Arabidopsis thaliana: one gene and its partners. The protein of the gene in region 2 interacts with the protein of the main gene of each other region in a biochemical or structural test. Each region holds a gene or a part of one and is shown on either strand. Other genes may lie near its edges. The genes, in order: MBD5, CHR1 and MBD02.

Region 1 (4,998 bases), on a different chromosome or scaffold from region 2:
CGGTTTAAACAAACCGAAGTTTTGCTCTGAAACCGAAGATTTGAGATTCTCGTTGAAGAGAGAAAAAACATAAGTTTCGAAAACCCGGTTTGGCATCAATGGAGTGCCCTTACCAGAATTCACATGCTTTATAAGGTTCCCATTGTAAGCTGCGGCATAATCTAAACCGACGCCGGTTTGGTTCGGTTCACCAGCTGAAGGCCAACCGGTCTCAGCCACAACAATGTCCACGTCACCGTACCCAAATCGTTTCATTGCGGAGTAAACAGCATCAAGCTGAGCGTCGAACATGTTGGTGTAGTTCAACTTCGTAACCGGGTCAACATATACAACGTCGTTTGTGTTAAAGAGTGCGTAGTTTAACGTTTCAGGTCCGAAACCGAAATATGGATACGGGTTAACCATAAAAGGAGACTTGGTGCGGTTGTGGAAGTCTAGGATTGGAGAGAAGATGGCTTTGTCGTACCCTTTACGGAACTTTCCGGAGCTAGGTGGCTCGGAGGAGCCTGAGAGGATACCGAGCGAGTGAGGCGTCGAGACTAAGATCCTACTGACGTTAGCAAGGTGTAATGCTAACGTAAGCGTCTCCATAGCGGGAAGGAGATGAGTGATGAGGGTTTTGTCGGATGTGGCGACGACTTCGTTTCCGACAGCAATGTAACGGATTGAAGTTGTTAGGAGGAAGGGGAGGAGGTTGTCGGAGAGCCATGAACGTGCGTTGGAAAGCTTGGAAAGAGAAATGATATCGGAGTTTGGGACGGTGACGGTGAGGGAGATTCCTGTAATGCCGGAAAATGCGGCGAGGATGTCGTGGTTTGTGTCGAAGATTTTGACGTGGTTGATTATTGTTTTTGTTTTGATGAAGTTGACGACTTGGTGAGGCGGTGGGAGGTTGTTGGCCACGGTGCCGTAGTTTACGCCGACTTGATATGCAGCGGAGAAGGGAAGGATGAGAGTGAGAATTAGGAAGTAAAGTTGATGAACAACTCTAGATCCCAACATGATCGTGAATGAGTTTATTTTATGACTTCCACGTTTAGCAAAACTTACTAGGAGTTGTTTTTTGGGAGCATGATCGTGTTCGGTTTGATTGTGGAGACGTGAGCGAGTGGCTCCCAAAAAATCACTCACTCCTAGTAAGTTTTGCTAAACGTGGAAGTTTTGCTAAACGTGGAAGTTTTGCTACATAATGTAATAATCATAAATTAATAACATTTGATAATTGAAACCATTAATAAGGATGTAAATAGTTGCAAATTAATTGTATTTGGGGGTGATTGGGAAGGGACTCTCAGACCATCCTCATCGGACAAATTTAAAAGGTGTCTTCAAATTTTAACAGAATAAAAAAAATAGGAAGATGAGAATTAATGCGCTGAATAGGAGTGACATGATGACTTTAATGTCTGTGGAAAAACATTTTTTGATACGGGAAAACACGAATGTGTCACCATGCTATTGGTTGGTGTTATTGTTTTTTATTTTTTCTCTTCATTTGACCAACAATTTTCTCTCTGTTCATTTTATCAATAAATTTCTCTCTCTTCATTTGGCAGTTAAGACATCCAATATACTGATCACCGATGTGGATGCTCTCATAGCTTTAAAGGTGTTTTAAAGTCCTCACAGTTTTTATTTTAACAGTCATGCTTTCTTGACTTTATTTTTTTTTAAAGTTCTCAAAGCCTTGTTTTTATTTGTTCTTTGTTTCCTTTTTTTTTTTAAAGTCACGATTACATGGCTTTCAAACAAATAAATATTAAAACTTTTCTTTTTCTTCTCCCATGATAATTAAAAACTTTCTACAATTTTATATATATTTTTTCACAAATCATTTTTGATTAATTAATTATTATTAATTTTATATTTTCTTTTAAGATCCAATTTACTAATAAATAATTTATTTATTACATGTGCAGTTTATTTGTTGAGAATATTTATTTAAGAATATTTTTTGTATTTTAATTTTATATTATTAATAAAATATATTTGTGTCACTATGTTGAAACATAATTCAATTTTAACATAATTTTATTTACAAAAATATATTTAATAATAGTAAAAATAGTACTCAAGCTTTTACAACTTTATATTACCAATCAGAATTTAACATCTAAAATCTCAACAGTTAAGTCTCTACATCCAAATTTTCTATGGTAAAAGTTTTTAAAGCCAAAACATTTACCGTCATCCTTACCGATCGGCCCATAGTTGTTCAAATAATTTATATCAGTTACACACATTTCGATTTTGATTTCGGTTACAAATATTTTATCCACTCTAATTCACAACAAGAAATTAATTTACCTTAATGGGCCCAAAAGCCCAAAAACTGCAACGTGGCTAATTAAGCCATTCCTCGAGCTCAAACTTTAAAACAGAAACAAAACTTCTAACTTACAAATTGTACTTCTGTCTTTTACTCTGTCTGATTCAGTCAAAAAGAAAGGAATATTAAAATCTCTCAATTTTATATACACTCACTCAATCATACCTTTCTCTGGAGACCTCCACAGGGTTTGTTTCCGGAAATGTCGAACGGCACGGATCAGGCTCAACCACCACCGGAGAACCCGGCTACTCCGGTGGATTCGAAGTCACGGAAACGTGCGACGCCAGGGGATGATAATTGGCTTCCTCCTGATTGGAGAACCGAAATTAGGGTTCGAACCTCTGGCACTAAAGCTGGTACTGTTGATAAGGTGAAAAAATCTCAGCCCTTTCAATTCCTTCGCAGATAGAATCGTCCGTACAAATGGAAATGTTATGTTGTTTGTTGATTTGAATTGGAACTTTTTCTTAGTATTTATGAAATTGGGTATTGAAGTTAGGTTATGATGATCTTATTGGTTTATATTTTAAGGTATTTGGAGACTTTATAACTAGTCTTTAAGTGTAACGTTGCTGTATGTATGCTTGTTGGATGAAGATTGCTCTGTTTAGGATGTTGTAGGTGTGAATATGATAATGCAGTGCTTGATGATGTCTTGTATTTGTAATGTAGTTCTACTACGAACCGATTACGGGTCGTAAGTTCCGGTCCAAGAACGAGGTTTTGTACTATTTGGAACACGGGACGCCTAAAAAGAAGTCCGTCAAGACAGCGGAAAACGGAGACTCACATTCCGAAGTGAGTTTGTTAGTAGACATTACCTTAAGGTTTAAACCCGTGTTTTACCTGAACTGTTGTTGTTTTTGCACATTTTTGTAGCATTCTGAAGGTAGAGGAAGCGCTAGGCGGCAGACAAAATCCAACAAAAAGGTTACTGAGCCACCGCCAAAGCCGTTGAACTTCGATTTTCTGAATGTGCCGGAGAAGGTTACTTGGACTGGGATAAACGGTTCAGAAGAAGCTTGGTTGCCTTTCATTGGGGACTACAAGATTCAAGAATCTGTCAGCCAAGATTGGGACAGAGTATTCACTCTTGTCACCTCCCAAAACGCTGGAAAAACGATGTTCTAGAAGATTGCTGCAGAAACTCACAAATTGTAATAACACGCGCTGCTAGATTATCATATCTACTTAGTATTTACTGATCGTTGGTTGGAATGCAGGTTAATTTTTTAGTAGTGATAGTTTTAGTAACACTTTGATTTGAGTTGTAATGTACTTTCTTAACATTTTCTTAGATAATTTGAAGGCAATGTATGTCTATATTATTGCCTTTGAGAGAATCCGATAGTAACAAAGTTATGAAATCTAAAGTTCGATGTGCGGTACTTCTCTGCTCAGTTCTCTCTGCTTTAAATTGTGAATCATCAGTTATGCATAGGCTCTATCTATCTATGCTTCTCTGCCTTTGTCCTAAATGATATACGGAAGCATACTGACATAATTTGGAATAAGTTCAAGTTATAACAGAACAGTGTGAAAATATGAACCAAAGCGTCTGTAGTCCAACGGTTAGGATAATTGCCTTCCAAGCAATAGACCCGGGTTCGACTCCCGGCAGACGCATTTTTAAATTTTGACATTTTACGCTCGTTGTTTATGAACAGTAAATATTTTCTTTAGATCTTTGTTTAAGAATTTTTTTTCTTTCTAAAATGGCTAAGAACATTGTCGTCAAAGACTATAATTCTTTTCTGTCTTATGCAGTGGATAAAAAAGGGGTTCTTATCGCACTTTTCAGTTATCGTTTGTTTCCTATCAGAAAACAAAATGGGAAAAATTCTCCACCTCAAAATTCGAGGAATTCTAACGGCGTGGAGATGAATAATTACCAAAAGTAACATATACACCCCCGTCGAAAATAACGAGTTTTCAAAAAAGATATTTTCGGTTGATTTGTCGATAATCATCTGCACTACGCTGCGGTATATTTTCAGATTTTTTTATCGTTTAATTTAAATATAATTTTAATTATCTAATCATTCACTCATGTAATAAATAATTATTTTTATTATTAAAATATTTTTTTCAAACAACATTTTCAACAATGCATCATATACACATTTCCTAAACAATGTTCGTCTTAAACCAATTAAATAGAGGGTAATGCTGGGATTCTCGAAACCTAATTAAGAATTTGATGATTAAACTTCTTACATACTCTTTACCCTCGGTGATTTATTATATAGATAAAAATCTGCAAACTATTCAAACTATTAAATAATTCATGACAACTATACACTCATTATTTGAGTTAAGATTACAGAAAAACATCTTCGAGTATGAGAAAACCGATAAAATAATTTTATTGAAAACATATAATAACAAAATAAATTTAGTATTAGTACAATTAAATATGAAAAATTAAATAATAAATACATCATTAATCTATAAATTAGAAGTTGAAGAGCTTACATTAATTATTTAGTGGACATAGGGCAAATGTTAAAGTGATGATGTGTCAATCATATGGAAAGAGTTGGCCAACTTTCATATATATGATTGGAGTGAATCGAATCTACATCATTCATCAACCAAAAAATAATCTAGAAAAATATATATCATAATTTCTAACTAAACTAAACAAAAACGCTCGTTGTTATATT
Region 2 (8,050 bases):
GAAATTGCTATTGCGTGTGATATCTGTGTTGGACCAATTATTGAAAAGGACAAGGCTGACTCTGGTTTTTAATGAGTAGTCCCCATGGGAGTTATGTTCATTTACCACACATTTTTTTGTATAGTATAGTATGAGTTTTTATTTGATATCTTTTATCTTCGGAAAATAAATGGTTCAAATTGTTTGTCTAAAAATGCACACATGAATATCTTGTGGTCTCACACAATTGTAGGAAACAAATTAATATTTGTTGCGAAAATAATGTTATTATTTTATCATACGAAATCCTAGAGAAAATGGTGGCAAAAGAGGCAAAGACTAAACTAATGAATTTAAAATATGAAAATGATGGAATGACTGGTTTACCAATATTACAGTATATTGTAATTTTATAAAAACGAATCCTGAAGAAGAGGGCAAACCCCAAGACCACGCAAATCAGTCTACAAATATGAAAATTTCCAATAACTAGAAAAACATGTGCATTTATCTTTTTCCATCATTCGGATTTTTACAATGGAAATTTTGACCACTGAGCGCAAGTGTTATAGTATTTTATTATTATCCAATATTAATATCATTATTCGGATCCATGCATTCTATATAACTATGTCCACCATCTTACTTGTGTCTATGTTGCAACTTCAACGTCGTATATATATAGGGATTGTTGTCACGAATACAATGCTAATTAAGGAAGATTGTGACTTCTCGGAAAATTTAGAACTAATTAAGAGTGGAACTAAAATGCCAATGAAAATAGCCTAAATCAAAGGAGAACCACAAATATAAATTGGAAGACCTTAAAAAACAATTAAACGAGGACGAAACAAATTTTGGAATCATCAATTATACGAAAAAAAGAAGAAAGAAAAAAGAGGTTTCATGAATCACAGTAGTGCTGACAATCTTCGAACCATTTGTGGGTTTCATACAATCGATCACCAATAGAACAAAAGAGAAACAGAGGAACAGAAAGAATAGAAGGAGTGGGAAGTGTATGAGGAAGCTGTGTCCGAACATAGACAAAGACGATGGTCTGGAGACGGTGTTGGAAGTTCCGATACCGGAGGAGATGTTTTCCGGTATGGGCAACAACGTTGCACTTAGGTGGCAAAATATGATGACGTGGATGAAAGCTCAAACGTCTGATAAATGGTCGCAACCGCTTATCGCCGCTCGTATCAACGAGCTCCGGTTCCTTCTCTACCTCGTTGGCTCGCCTCTTATACCTCTCCAGGTTCAAGTCGGTCACTCTGTTCATAAGCCCGTCAAAGATTGCTCCATTGTAAGTCATTCAAAATCAATCCTTATGAAAACATAACAAAGATGTTGAAAATATGATTCCTCTTTTTTTTTTCTTTTTTTCTTTTATGATCAAAACCCAAAAAAGTCATTACCCTGCTTCGTAAGTATTCAACATAAAGTTGTTAATCCATGTGTTGTACTCTGCAAGTCTGCATTACATTATTCATCGTACACAGAGTCATCAACTTCAGTTTCATTGTTTTTTTGCTTATGAATTACGATTGCAGCAAGCTTCAACGGCGAAATACATTGTACAGCAGTACATAGCAGCGACGGGAGGACCACAGGCGTTAAACGCCGTGAACAGCATGTGCGTCACGGGACAAGTGAAGATGACGGCGTCGGAGTTTCATCAAGGAGATGATTCGGGCGTTAATCTAAAGAGCAACGACGAAATGGGTGGTTTCGTTTTATGGCAAAAGGATCCAGATCTTTGGTGTTTGGAGCTCGTCGTCTCCGGTTGCAAAGTGATATGTGGAAGCAACGGTCGGCTTTCATGGCGACATTCCTCTAACCAGCAAACTCCGGCGTCTACCGGAACGCCAAGACCTCTCCGCCGGTTTTTACAGGTCCAATCCGGTTATTGATTTTTTTTTTGATGTAATGTCCGGTTCTCAAAATGTTGAACCGGTGGTTTATTTATTGTTTGAGCAGGGGTTAGATCCTCGTTCGACGGCGAATCTGTTTCTTGACGCAACGTGTATCGGAGAGAAGATAATCAACGGTGAGGATTGCTTTATCTTGAAACTGGAGACGAGTCCGGCGGTTCGAGAAGCTCAAAGCGGTCCGAATTTTGAGATAATTCATCACACGATATGGGGTTATTTTAGTCAAAGATCGGGACTTTTGATTCAGTTCGAAGATTCGCGGCTTTTGAGAATGAGGACCAAGGAAGACGAAGATGTCTTCTGGGAGACTAGTGCTGAGTCGGTGATGGATGATTACCGATACGTTGACAATGTGAACATCGCTCACGGCGGGAAAACATCGGTCACGGTTTTCCGGTACGGTGAAGCGTCGGCGAATCATCGGAGACAGATGACGGAGAAGTGGAGGATAGAAGAAGTTGATTTTAATGTTTGGGGTCTCTCCGTTGATCATTTTCTTCCTCCGGCCAATTTGCAGATCGAAAAATGATTTAGCTTTTTATTAAAAATATTGTTATTCGTTTTTAGCCGATATCATAACTTTTTGAGATACATTATCAACACACTCGTGCAACTGAGATATTCTTGACACAATTTTTGCATTTGAAATTGGCAATTTTGTACTACTCATATAGTTTGAAGCTTCAATTCACTACAAAGGTTATTACTAATTGTGTCGACAAATCCAGCAGATTTAATAATGCCCATTCCATTAAATGTTTTTTAGTTTAATAATAGGATGATCATATGACCAAAATCGTAAATAAGGGTTAGGGGTAAACCTGTCATTTCAAGCTTCCCGCCCATGGGCGCTACTCCCAATTTAATAAAAAATAAGAAAATAGGCGTAAATATGAGAGTGTGTTTTTTCAATATACCCTCGGTTTTGAATTTGCTCTCAAAAGCGACGGAGACGACTGTTTGGCTCGGTGATTTCTCCCGCCGTTTGGGTTTTTCTTACCGGAATTTCCTTCTCCTTCGATGGTTAGTCTGCGCTCCAGAAAAGTTATTCCGTAAGTCCCTCCACCTTTCCTTTTCATTTCGTTATTTCCGGCGATTTTCTAGGTCCTTAACGCTCTCGAAATCGCTCGCTGTTCTTGGTGGTTTTTGGTTCCCTCTCTGCGTAATTTTGTTTGTCGTGTTTTTGGATTATATTCTCTGACTATTGGTCTCACTGTTGATTTATCATTTCTCGATTTTGGATTTTTGGACTCTTAGGGCTTCGGAAATGGTCAGCGACGGGAAAACGGAGAAAGATGCGTCTGGTGATTCACCCACTTCTGTTCTCAACGAAGAGGTTTGTTCTATGTTCTACTATTTTGCCTTCGTAGTGTGGTTGCTTTGTGAAACTTTGTGTGTTACTCTTTGTTTCTTTAAATCTGGGGTGTTCTGTAAATGGGTCCTTTTTGGTCCTTTTTTTCTGAATGTGAAGGAAAACTGTGAGGAGAAAAGTGTTACTGTTGTAGAGGAAGAGATACTTCTAGCCAAAAATGGAGATTCTTCTCTTATTTCTGAAGCCATGGCTCAGGAGGAAGAGCAGCTGCTCAAACTTCGGGAAGATGAAGAGAAAGCTAACAATGCTGGATCTGCTGTTGCTCCTAATCTGAATGAAACTCAGTTTACTAAACTTGATGAGCTCTTGACGCAAACTCAGCTCTACTCTGAGTTTCTCCTTGAGAAAATGGAGGATATCACAATTGTAATCTTCTTTATTTCTTTCTTCTTTGTGGTTTCTCACTTTTCGAATGGGAGTCATTATTCTTAGTTTGAACAACTTGTGGGTGAAATTTGTTTTGCTAGAATGGGATAGAAAGTGAGAGCCAAAAAGCTGAGCCCGAGAAGACTGGTCGTGGACGCAAAAGAAAGGCTGCTTCTCAGTACAACAATGTTGGTTCCATTTATATAATTTTCAACTACTATGCATGATCTTGTATATATTGTTTTTTCTGCTTGTTTGAGAAAGTAACTTACTTGGATGCTTTTTTCTTCAATCAGACTAAGGCTAAGAGAGCGGTTGCTGCTATGATTTCAAGATCTAAAGAAGATGGTGAGACCATCAACTCAGATCTGACAGAGGAAGAAACAGTCATCAAACTGCAGAATGAACTTTGTCCTCTTCTCACTGGTGGACAGTTAAAGTCTTATCAGCTTAAAGGTGTCAAATGGCTAATATCATTGTGGCAGAATGGTTTGAATGGAATATTAGCTGATCAAATGGGACTTGGAAAGACGATTCAAACGATCGGTTTCTTATCACATCTGAAAGGGAATGGGTTGGATGGTCCATATCTAGTCATTGCTCCACTGTCTACACTTTCAAATTGGTTCAATGAGATTGCTAGGTACTCTCATGGCCATATGTGTTTGTATAGATCCAATGCTTTGGGGTTTCTGTTGAAAGTTTTCTTACCTTTTCCATTAGGTTCACGCCTTCCATCAATGCAATCATCTACCATGGGGATAAAAATCAAAGGGATGAGCTCAGGAGGAAGCACATGCCTAAAACTGTTGGTCCCAAGTTCCCTATAGTTATTACTTCTTATGAGGTTGCCATGAATGATGCTAAAAGAATTCTGCGGCACTATCCATGGAAATATGTTGTGATTGATGAGGTAAATTCCGAGATTGGTCAATGTACTAGGCTTTGAAGATCAAGATGATCTCTCTAACTGATAATTTTGTTCTTGTATATTATAGGGCCACAGGTTGAAAAACCACAAGTGTAAATTGTTGAGGGAACTAAAACACTTGAAGATGGATAACAAACTTCTGCTGACAGGAACACCTCTGCAAAATAATCTTTCTGAGCTTTGGTCTTTGTTAAATTTTATTCTGCCTGACATCTTTACATCACATGATGAATTTGAATCATGGTACAAACATGGTCCTTTTCTACTATTATCCCTAACTAGTCTTCTTTTTTTTTTTTTTTTTGTTAACACTGGTGGCAGCTTTTTGACATTTATTCCTTTCTTAGTATCTAACTGATAGATGAGTCTCTACAGGTTTGATTTTTCTGAAAAGAACAAAAACGAAGCAACCAAGGAAGAAGAAGAGAAAAGAAGAGCTCAAGTATGTACAATTATATCAATTTTCCTTTATTTCTTTGATTGTATTTATGTCTTATGCTAAGGGTACATCTTGTCTAGGTTGTTTCCAAACTTCATGGTATACTACGACCATTCATCCTTCGAAGAATGAAATGTGATGTTGAGCTCTCACTTCCACGGAAAAAGGAGATTATAATGTATGCTACAATGACTGATCATCAGAAAAAGTTCCAGGAACATCTGGTGAATAACACGTTGGAAGCACATCTTGGAGAGAATGCCATCCGAGGTACATGATCTATTTTTTTTTTTTAATACTTTGTTTAATTATGTCATTTTCTGCATTGATTTGTTCATCCCCTATACTTCAGGTCAAGGCTGGAAGGGAAAGCTTAACAACCTGGTCATTCAACTTCGAAAGAACTGCAACCATCCTGACCTTCTCCAGGGGCAAATAGATGGTTCATGTATGTCAGTTTCTTTTAAGAAACGTAAGAAAAACTTCTGTCATACTGTTCTGTCTAATTGTTTCATTTCGTGACAGATCTCTACCCTCCTGTTGAAGAGATTGTTGGACAGTGTGGTAAATTCCGCTTATTGGAGAGATTACTTGTTCGGTTATTTGCCAATAATCACAAAGTATGTTTCACAAACCCATGGCTCGTAGCTCATTTCCCTTTGAGAACTTCTCTGATCCATTTGCTGATGACCAGGTCCTTATCTTCTCCCAATGGACGAAACTTTTGGACATTATGGATTACTACTTCAGTGAGAAGGGGTTTGAGGTTTGCAGAATCGATGGCAGTGTGAAGCTGGATGAAAGGAGAAGACAGGTTTCACCTGTGCTTATGCTGCTTTTGCGTTGCTTTTAAGCAATATTCTGACCAAATATTATAACCATAAGGTCTCTCTCTCTCTCTCTTTGCCTTGAAACAGATTAAAGATTTCAGTGATGAGAAGAGCAGCTGTAGTATATTTCTCCTGAGTACCAGAGCTGGAGGACTCGGAATCAATCTTACTGCTGCTGATACATGCATCCTCTATGACAGCGACTGGGTAATCAAATCAATTAATTTATTTTCTTTGAAGGAAAATCTTTCTCTTTCGTGTTGTCTCCAACTGTGTTTTGTCTGATCTCCAGAACCCTCAAATGGACTTGCAAGCCATGGACAGATGCCACAGAATCGGGCAGACGAAACCTGTTCATGTTTATAGGCTTTCCACGGCTCAGTCGATAGAGGTAAAACTCTTTGTTGTTCATATCAATCAATCTTAACTTCAAACCATTGAGATTGTTGCCTCATGAGATTGGTTTATGACATTTGCTCAGACCCGGGTTCTGAAACGAGCGTACAGTAAGCTCAAGCTGGAACATGTGGTTATTGGCCAAGGGCAGTTTCATCAAGAACGTGCCAAGTCTTCAACACCTTTAGAGGTTTTAACTTCTCTTAAAGCTCAATCCTTTTTAGATACACTTATTATCAACAAAATCTCCTATTGACAGCTTGAACCAAACTAACACACAGGAAGAGGACATACTGGCGTTGCTTAAGGAAGATGAAACTGCTGAAGATAAGTTGATACAAACCGATATAAGCGATGCGGATCTTGACAGGTTACTTGACCGGAGTGACCTGACAATTACTGCACCGGGAGAGACACAAGCTGCTGAAGCTTTTCCAGTGAAGGGTCCAGGTTGGGAAGTGGTCCTGCCTAGTTCGGGAGGAATGCTGTCTTCCCTGAACAGTTAGGACACATTAATAAGCCAGGCCTTGAAACCACTTCTGTGTTTTTTTTTTTTTTTTCCGGAACATGATCGGTTACTTTTGGCTGGGAGGATTTAATTATTAGAGGGCTCGGAAGTTTTTGTAAGTTAAAGAACTCACTTAAAACCCTGAAAACATGACAGTTAATGGTGATTAGCTCTCAATGTGATGAAAACAATTGGCCCTCTGATTTTGCTGTTGCGGTAATATTATGACTTGTGTACGTTTATAGTCTTTGTAGTCTGCAATTTTGGCATTGAGCTATTTCTCACGAACTTATGGGATCTTATGTTTTGGATTTGGGATTTGTTAACTTATATGATTAGGCTCAATAGTTTCACAGAATATTAAAAACTTGAGTAGGGTTTAAAAAAGAAGCAAAAAGCTCCGATGCCGGGAATCGAACCCGGGTCTCCTGGGTGAAAGCCAGATATCCTAACCGCTGGACGACATCGGATTTGTTGATGTCTATTCTTGTAAATAGTAAATATTTAGTTTTATCGGTTTTGCATCTAATGGACTAAAACATGAACACGAGACGCCGACAAGAATGAATGGGGCAGGCACCAAACATTTGGGTAAAAGTATGCAGTGGGGTATTATTGACAATTTGACCATTACAAGAGCTAATCTTAGGGGGTTTTAGTTAGTAAAGCAAACCCGGTTTAGGAGTAAATATGGAGTGAGAATAGGGGTAATTAAGGGAATTTAAGAGAAGTCATCATCGTTTTCCATTTTTCTTATTTTAAGCGCCTCGGTGGCTATCTCTCACTCCGTTCGCGTCTTCCTCTTAAAGGAAACCTCCTCTACGCGAAATTCGTATTCTCTCATTTCTTCTACGGAGATTTGCATCGAAGAAACTGACTCGCTTGTGGAATCAACAACAAGACGATGTGGCGCTGCGTCTCTCGTGGCTTTCGAGCTCCTGCTTCAAAGACCTCTTCACTCTTTGATGGCGTCTCTGGATCTCGCTTTTCCAGATTCTTCTCCACTGGTTCTGTATGATCTCTCTTCCTTCTCCTTCCGTTTTGTTTATTTTCTAATTCGATCTTATGTAATTCACGAATCATAGTTTTATCCGCCATTCAAATGCGTTAGTAGTCGAGCAAATTGTTGAAAATCGGGGAAAATTTTGATCGATTTGTTTTGTGGTGTTTATTTTGGTTATCTGTTGAGTAGACCGATACGAGATCCTCTTATACGATAGTGGATCACACTTATGATGCGGTTGTGGTGGGAGCTGGTGGTGCTGGTCTTAGGGCGGCGATTGGGTTATCGG
Region 3 (5,840 bases), about 13 Mb from region 2:
ATCGGGTACAACAAAAAACAAAAGGGTGGTCAACTCGATTTCTATCAGAAGCCGGAAAAGAAATCTTAATAAAGACAGTGGCTTTGTCATTACCAGTTTACACAATGAACTGTTTCAAACTTCCAAAGGGGATATGTGATGATATCAACAGATTACTTGCGTCTTACTGGTGGAGTAAAAGCTCGGATAAGAGATCAATGCACTGGATGGCTTGGAAGCGGCTGACCATACCAAAGAATGAAGGCGGGTTAGGATTTAGGGACATTGAATGCTTTAATAAAGCCATGTTAGCAAAACAAGTGTGGCGAATACTTCAAGCACCATCATCCCTGCTCACTCGCCTCTTACGTGGAAGGTACTTTGAAACAACAAATATTCTGAATGCAAGAACCGGAGGAAGCCCTCTTTCATTTGGAGATCCATTCTAGAAGGACGAGACCTCCTGCAGCAAGGACTTCGAATCCTTATAGAAGATGGCAAACAGACAAACATATGGACTGATTCATGGCTTCCAACACACCCACCAAGACCACCTCAAAAACGTGATGCGACGGTCACCAATCATACACAAGTCAAGCACCTAATGCAAGATGGCAGAAACATGTGGAATAAAGAAGTAATAGAAGAACTCTTTGAAGCAGATGAAGCACGATTGATACAAGGTTAAGATTAAGATCACAACCGTCCCCTGATGTACTAGGCTGGAACTACACAAAGCATGGGGAATACACATTCAAATCAAGTTATTGGCTCTGTACACATCTACCGAATCAACAACATGATTATGTTCCCCCACCAGGTTTACCCGAGTTTAAGAGAGTAGTATGGAAGCTAGACACGACACCAAAACTAAAGCACTTCATGTGGCGGATAGTAACTCAATCATTGGCGACAGGCGAGGCCTTGACACGACGACATATCATTTCAGATTCACAGTGTAAACGATGTTGTGCAGCTCCTGAAACATTAGAACGCCTATTCTTTGGATGCCATTATGTTCAAGCTATTTGGAGGGGCTCTCCGGTGTCACATACAGCGTTTTTCAATCCACACTTACCTTTTGAAGATAAATTCAGATTAATCCTTCAATGCTGTACTGATACGAGACAAGACCATATCACAAGACAAATACCTTTATGGATGTTGTGGCACATATGGAAGAGCAGGAATTTGTTAGTTTACCAGCGAAAAGGGAGTAATTGGCAAGATGATGTACAAAAAGCGATAACAGACTCATATGAGTGGATTCCTCTGCAGCGAGACACACAACGACGAAGTCTAAATGACAGAAGCGGGCAAGGGTAGCAAAAACCTATTCACGGCTTTATCAAATGCAATTATGACTGCAGTTTCTCAAGGAATGATCTAGCACCAAAGGCTGGTTGGATTTTACGAATTGACACAGGCAGTTATCTACTTGCGGCTCAAGGTACAAGACAACTATGCAACTCAGTGCTAGAAGCGGAACTACAGGCTCTCTTGATGGCAATGCAACATACATGGAGTAGAGGATATCGAAAGATTATATTTGAAGGTGATAATAGGACTGTGGAAAGCTTACTCAATGGGAACACAAGGAATTTTGAACTTCATAACCTCGTCATGGAGATACAACATTGGCGGAAGAAGTTTTCTACTGCCATTATCAAATGGTCTTTCCGGTCAACTAACAAAGCAGCTGATCGATTAGCTAAAGTGGAGTTAGAAAACATTGTTACTTTTGTCTCTCATTCTTATGTACCTCTGTTTCTTGTACAAATCCTCCATAGGATTACACATCATCCCTCTAATAAAGTATATCTGTTAATGTTAAAAAAAAATAAAAAAAAAAGAATCGGTTATTTTCGGGTTTTAAACTTAAAAACCAAAGAAACCAATATCCGAATCGAACCGAACCGTAATAAATTTCGGTTAGTTTCGGAAGAATTTTCAAAAATCCAAAATAACCGAAACCCGAAATAACCGACTCGGTTCGGTTCGGTTTACCCGAAGTCGCAGGCCTAATATTTTATATCAACAATTGACATATATTTTGACCCAAAAAAAAAAAATCAACAATTGACATATATTTGTTTTTATTAAAGTTTAATTTACATATTATGGAAGTCTCAAAATATTTGTTAAACAATGGCAAATATTTGTTAGACATATTTCATCTATTTAGCATGCACAACACGAATCCATATCTAATATTAGAAAGAATTATCCTTTGATTCTTTTTTTCTGAAGGAAATTTTGATTAATGGTAAGATTTGTTTATAAGCCCAAAAGCACAAATATTCTCCTACTTATAGCATGATATATTTTGAAGTGAATGTAAATTAAGAATTATTTTCGTAACAACAAATTTTATATTTATACAAAATAAATTAAATTCAGTTTCTTTCTCTCTTCTCTTTCTCGGTTTCCCCATTTTCTATCTAGACAAAGAGTGTTGTCTGAATTGGCTCTGTCTCAAAAAATGAAATTCTCAAATTAACCACAACGATCTTTAGAGCCTTCTTCGCTCACCGATCTCTGAAACCCTGGTTTGCTCTCGTCCTCTTCGTGTAACGATTCTTCTTCTTGATAAATTTTTAATCTTTGTTTCGGCTTTTCGATGAAATTGTTTTTTTTTTGGATCTCGTCTCTATCAGCTCATGTTCTTCTTTGATTATATGATAATTGTTGTTTCCTTTGCTCTGTTTTATGATTATTGTTGATTTTTGAGATTGAAATGTTCGAGGGTTTCTACTGTTCACTGTTCTTTACACGTATCAATGTTTTCTTGATCATGTTCTCTTATGATGTTAATAGAGAGACTAGTGTTATTGTGATGAATGATTCTTGTTAACTAAATTTGTCATTTTTGTTTTCACTTGACATTCATTTCTCTAACCATTTATTATAGGTAGTTTCTATGAGTATGTCGCAGTCTCGAGCTGTCCAAAGATCGTCTTCACCTAATGAGGATAGAGGTGAGAATCAGTTAGTGGTTTATGACTTGAAAGGAAATGATGATACTGAAGAAGAAGTTCTACCGGTTCAATCTCAGCCTTTGTCATCTAGAACACAGTGTCCCTCTATCGGGGCATTTACGGTTCAGTGTGCAAGTTGTTTCAAATGGAGACTCATGCCTTCAATGCAGAAGTATGAAGAGATTAGGGAACAGCTTCTTGAAAACCCGTTTTTCTGCGATACAGCGCGTGAGTGGAAGCCGGATATTTCTTGTGATGTTCCTGCTGATATCTATCAAGATGGAACTCGTCTTTGGGCTATTGATAAACCGAATATCTCTCGTCCACCCGCTGGCTGGCAACGTTTACTGCGGATTAGAGGTGAAGGAGGTACCAGATTTGCTGATGTGTATGTCGTTCGTTAACTCTTCTCTCATTTATGTTAATATTAGTCTTTCTTCTTTATACCATTGTATTGGCTTTCTTTATCATTCTTTTATCTTGGTTGTTTCAGTTATTATGTTGCTCCGTCTGGAAAGAAGCTTCGATCAACTGTGGAGGTCCAAAAGTTAGTTTCTCTACCACTCCATTTCCACATTTTCGTTTTCACATTTAACAAAGTGTTCCTTACTTTTATGTTTGATGAGGTCTCACTGTATCAGTCTTACCATTTTCGTCAACCAATATATTGAATCAGTAGGAACCTCAAGTATTGTTCTGTGGTCATAACTAGAGTTAGGCACTTATGCAAATTACAGAAATCCTTGCATGTGTTTTGTTTACTAACGAAAATGTACTATGCCAAGAAGTTAGTTAAACTATCATCCTTATTTCCATGATACTTCCCTGCAGCATTTGAGAGTGACAACAATGGTAGGAGAAAAAAGCTTAGTGACTTACCAATTCGTTTAGTGATTACCAAATTGTTTTCAGTGACGTATAGCTAGCTTCTTTACACCCTTATAACCACTATTACTGGTTTGCAGGTACTTGAATGACAACTCCGAATACATTGGAGAAGGGGTGAAACTTTCACAGTTCTCGTTTCAAATCCCGAAACCGCTGCAGGATGACTACGTGAGGAAGCGCCCAGCTCGACTACTGGATTCCATCGATAATACAAACACCCCTGTAGCTAAAGAAGGTGTGTTGCTTATCAAGGCACATAAATATAATTGTGGTTATCTTTTGTATCAAGGCTTTAGATTATTGATGTCATTTTTTCAGTCAAGAGTGTATTTGACGTATACTCGAACCGAACATTGGTGTCTTTAGGGAACTTTATTAACATGAAAACGTCTATGCTTTTACAAGTTTCTAACATTTCGCTTGTCTTGTTATTTTTCAGCTAATCCACTGGCATGGATATCTCCAGATGATCATATATCGTTGCAGCTAGGTACGCCAACCGAGTCTGGACTTAACAATTCACATTACCAACCATCGAAAAAGAAAAAAACATCGACGCTATCAATCTTTGGCTCCAACGACGAACTTGCTGATAGATAATCTAGCTAGACGAGAGTGAACTTATCTCGTCTTCTCTGGTATATAACCCGTCTTCTTTCTTCGTTTTTTGGGTTTGTCTTATCGAAGAAACTGAAAGCATGTGGTTAGCTTGTTTTTTGTGTATACCATCTATTTTGTTTTGCAGTGTAACATACTTTCTATGAAGAAGATGGGTCCTTTTGGTTTTTGCTTCCAAATAACTGGATTTTCATGCTGAAAGTTTTTAAACCTAAAGTTTGATTATTACCAAATTCCATTATCTCACAAATCCACTAGAGGACTGACACAAGAAAGCAGATAAGAATAGATCAGAGTCTGTTTAACTGTAGATGTGCATGTTAAGTTGGAACGTAGTTTATCTCAAAGGATATTTTAACGACATCCAAAAGATAACATTCGAAAGTCAAAACCATCCTAGGGGAGATATGGCTGAAGCTATTAGTTTGGTAAACATACAACAACAAAACTATGCCATATCTCTAATCTGCGCAAAAGGCAGAAACAAAAACTAACAACAAATCTGCCTTCTACTATCCTGCTTCGTGCATTCCCTATTCAGTTTTCCCGTGGTTAAGCCGTATCATCGGAACCAAGTGATGGGAGTGGGAGTAGTACTGACTTGAGGAAGCTGCGGAATCATACAGTTTTGCGCTTGCTGCCACGGATGCAAGCCAAAACCATAGGTGTGCTCTTGCTCTTGCTGCTGTCCTTGCTGAGGGAAAGATAGACTGGTGCTTCCAGTATCCTCTTCTATCTCATTGGATGCATCATCCATTACCACATCCTCACCTGTCTCATCCAACTCAGTAATCTCTAGTGTCCGCGGTTGTTGGAAGGTTCCTATGGACTGTGAGTAAGTAGACTGAGACGGATTCCAGCAAACAACAGCTTGACACTTGTTTAATCTCTCATCTTCATACTGATTATCATCAGCTATCGATACATCGCGAAGAAATCTATCTGCACAAGTGTTAACATTCAGAATTTAGACACAACCGTCTGTATTTAGTCAACATTCTGGATCACAAGTTAAAGGCAAACAAACAAAACGAACCAGAACAAAATCTGACACTAAGACACAGCAAAATCCTCATAATATCTATGATAATTTCCCAGTTAACATGACAATCTGTTCAACATATAAAACTATATGAGCTCATACCATATAAACTAGATTATCTGCACTGTTTACTGAAACTTATGGAGATATCTCAAAATAAAGAAGATACTCTTAACTTATTGAGCTAAGACATTGTTGTGACATAGTAGTTTCTAAAGTTAACTTACAAGCCCTTTAACAATCATAGACTGAAACTTATCTCATTACTAAAGAAAGTTCAAAAGAATCATCACTAATACACTTCAACAACAACGTTATACCTAATCATGAACCAT

Evidence for each region.
Region 1: the proteins of CHR1 (region 2) and MBD5 form a complex in vitro, tested with the Arabidopsis thaliana proteins (one study listed by BioGRID).
Region 3: the proteins of CHR1 (region 2) and MBD02 form a complex in vitro, tested with the Arabidopsis thaliana proteins (one study listed by BioGRID).

The regions. Positions count from the first base shown.
Region 1 is NC_003074.8:17,145,866-17,150,863, forward strand, and holds MBD5 (methyl-CPG-binding domain protein 5), read left to right. Parts: upstream 1-2,366; 5' UTR 2,367-2,531; coding exon 2,532-2,702; intron 2,703-3,004; coding exon 3,005-3,130; intron 3,131-3,211; coding exon 3,212-3,463; 3' UTR 3,464-3,732; downstream 3,733-4,998. Other genes in the region: AT3G46570 (Glycosyl hydrolase superfamily protein), read right to left, coding at 1-1,002. UniProt on the Arabidopsis thaliana protein: Transcriptional regulator that binds CpG islands in promoters where the DNA is methylated at position 5 of cytosine within CpG dinucleotides. In addition, binds specifically methylated m(5)CpNpN but not m(5)CpNpG (N is A, T or C).
Region 2 is NC_003076.8:26,646,114-26,654,163, forward strand, and holds CHR1 (chromatin remodeling 1), read left to right. Parts: upstream 1-2,783; 5' UTR 2,784-2,936; coding exon 2,937-2,968; intron 2,969-3,173; coding exon 3,174-3,252; intron 3,253-3,387; coding exon 3,388-3,654; intron 3,655-3,755; coding exon 3,756-3,842; intron 3,843-3,950; coding exon 3,951-4,297; intron 4,298-4,377; coding exon 4,378-4,567; intron 4,568-4,652; coding exon 4,653-4,828; intron 4,829-4,960; coding exon 4,961-5,027; intron 5,028-5,104; coding exon 5,105-5,294; intron 5,295-5,376; coding exon 5,377-5,472; intron 5,473-5,549; coding exon 5,550-5,644; intron 5,645-5,718; coding exon 5,719-5,838; intron 5,839-5,941; coding exon 5,942-6,061; intron 6,062-6,146; coding exon 6,147-6,245; intron 6,246-6,335; coding exon 6,336-6,440; intron 6,441-6,531; coding exon 6,532-6,756; 3' UTR 6,757-7,078; downstream 7,079-8,050. Other genes in the region: AT5G66740 (spindle assembly abnormal protein (DUF620)), read left to right, coding at 1,001-1,288, 1,536-1,877, 1,963-2,445; SDH1-1 (succinate dehydrogenase 1-1), read left to right, coding at 7,663-7,770, 7,951-8,050. UniProt on the Arabidopsis thaliana protein: ATP-dependent DNA helicase that plays a role in formation, organization, stability and heritability of heterochromatin and thus regulates several physiological traits.
Region 3 is NC_003076.8:13,522,330-13,528,169, reverse strand, and holds MBD02 (methyl-CPG-binding domain protein 02), read left to right. Parts: upstream 1-2,371; 5' UTR 2,372-2,549; exon of another isoform or gene 2,550-2,894; 5' UTR 2,895-2,899; coding exon 2,900-3,345; intron 3,346-3,450; coding exon 3,451-3,504; intron 3,505-3,922; coding exon 3,923-4,080; intron 4,081-4,284; coding exon 4,285-4,445; 3' UTR 4,446-4,767; downstream 4,768-5,840. Other genes in the region: AT5G35320 (DBH-like monooxygenase), read right to left, coding at 5,026-5,405. UniProt on the Arabidopsis thaliana protein: Probable transcriptional regulator.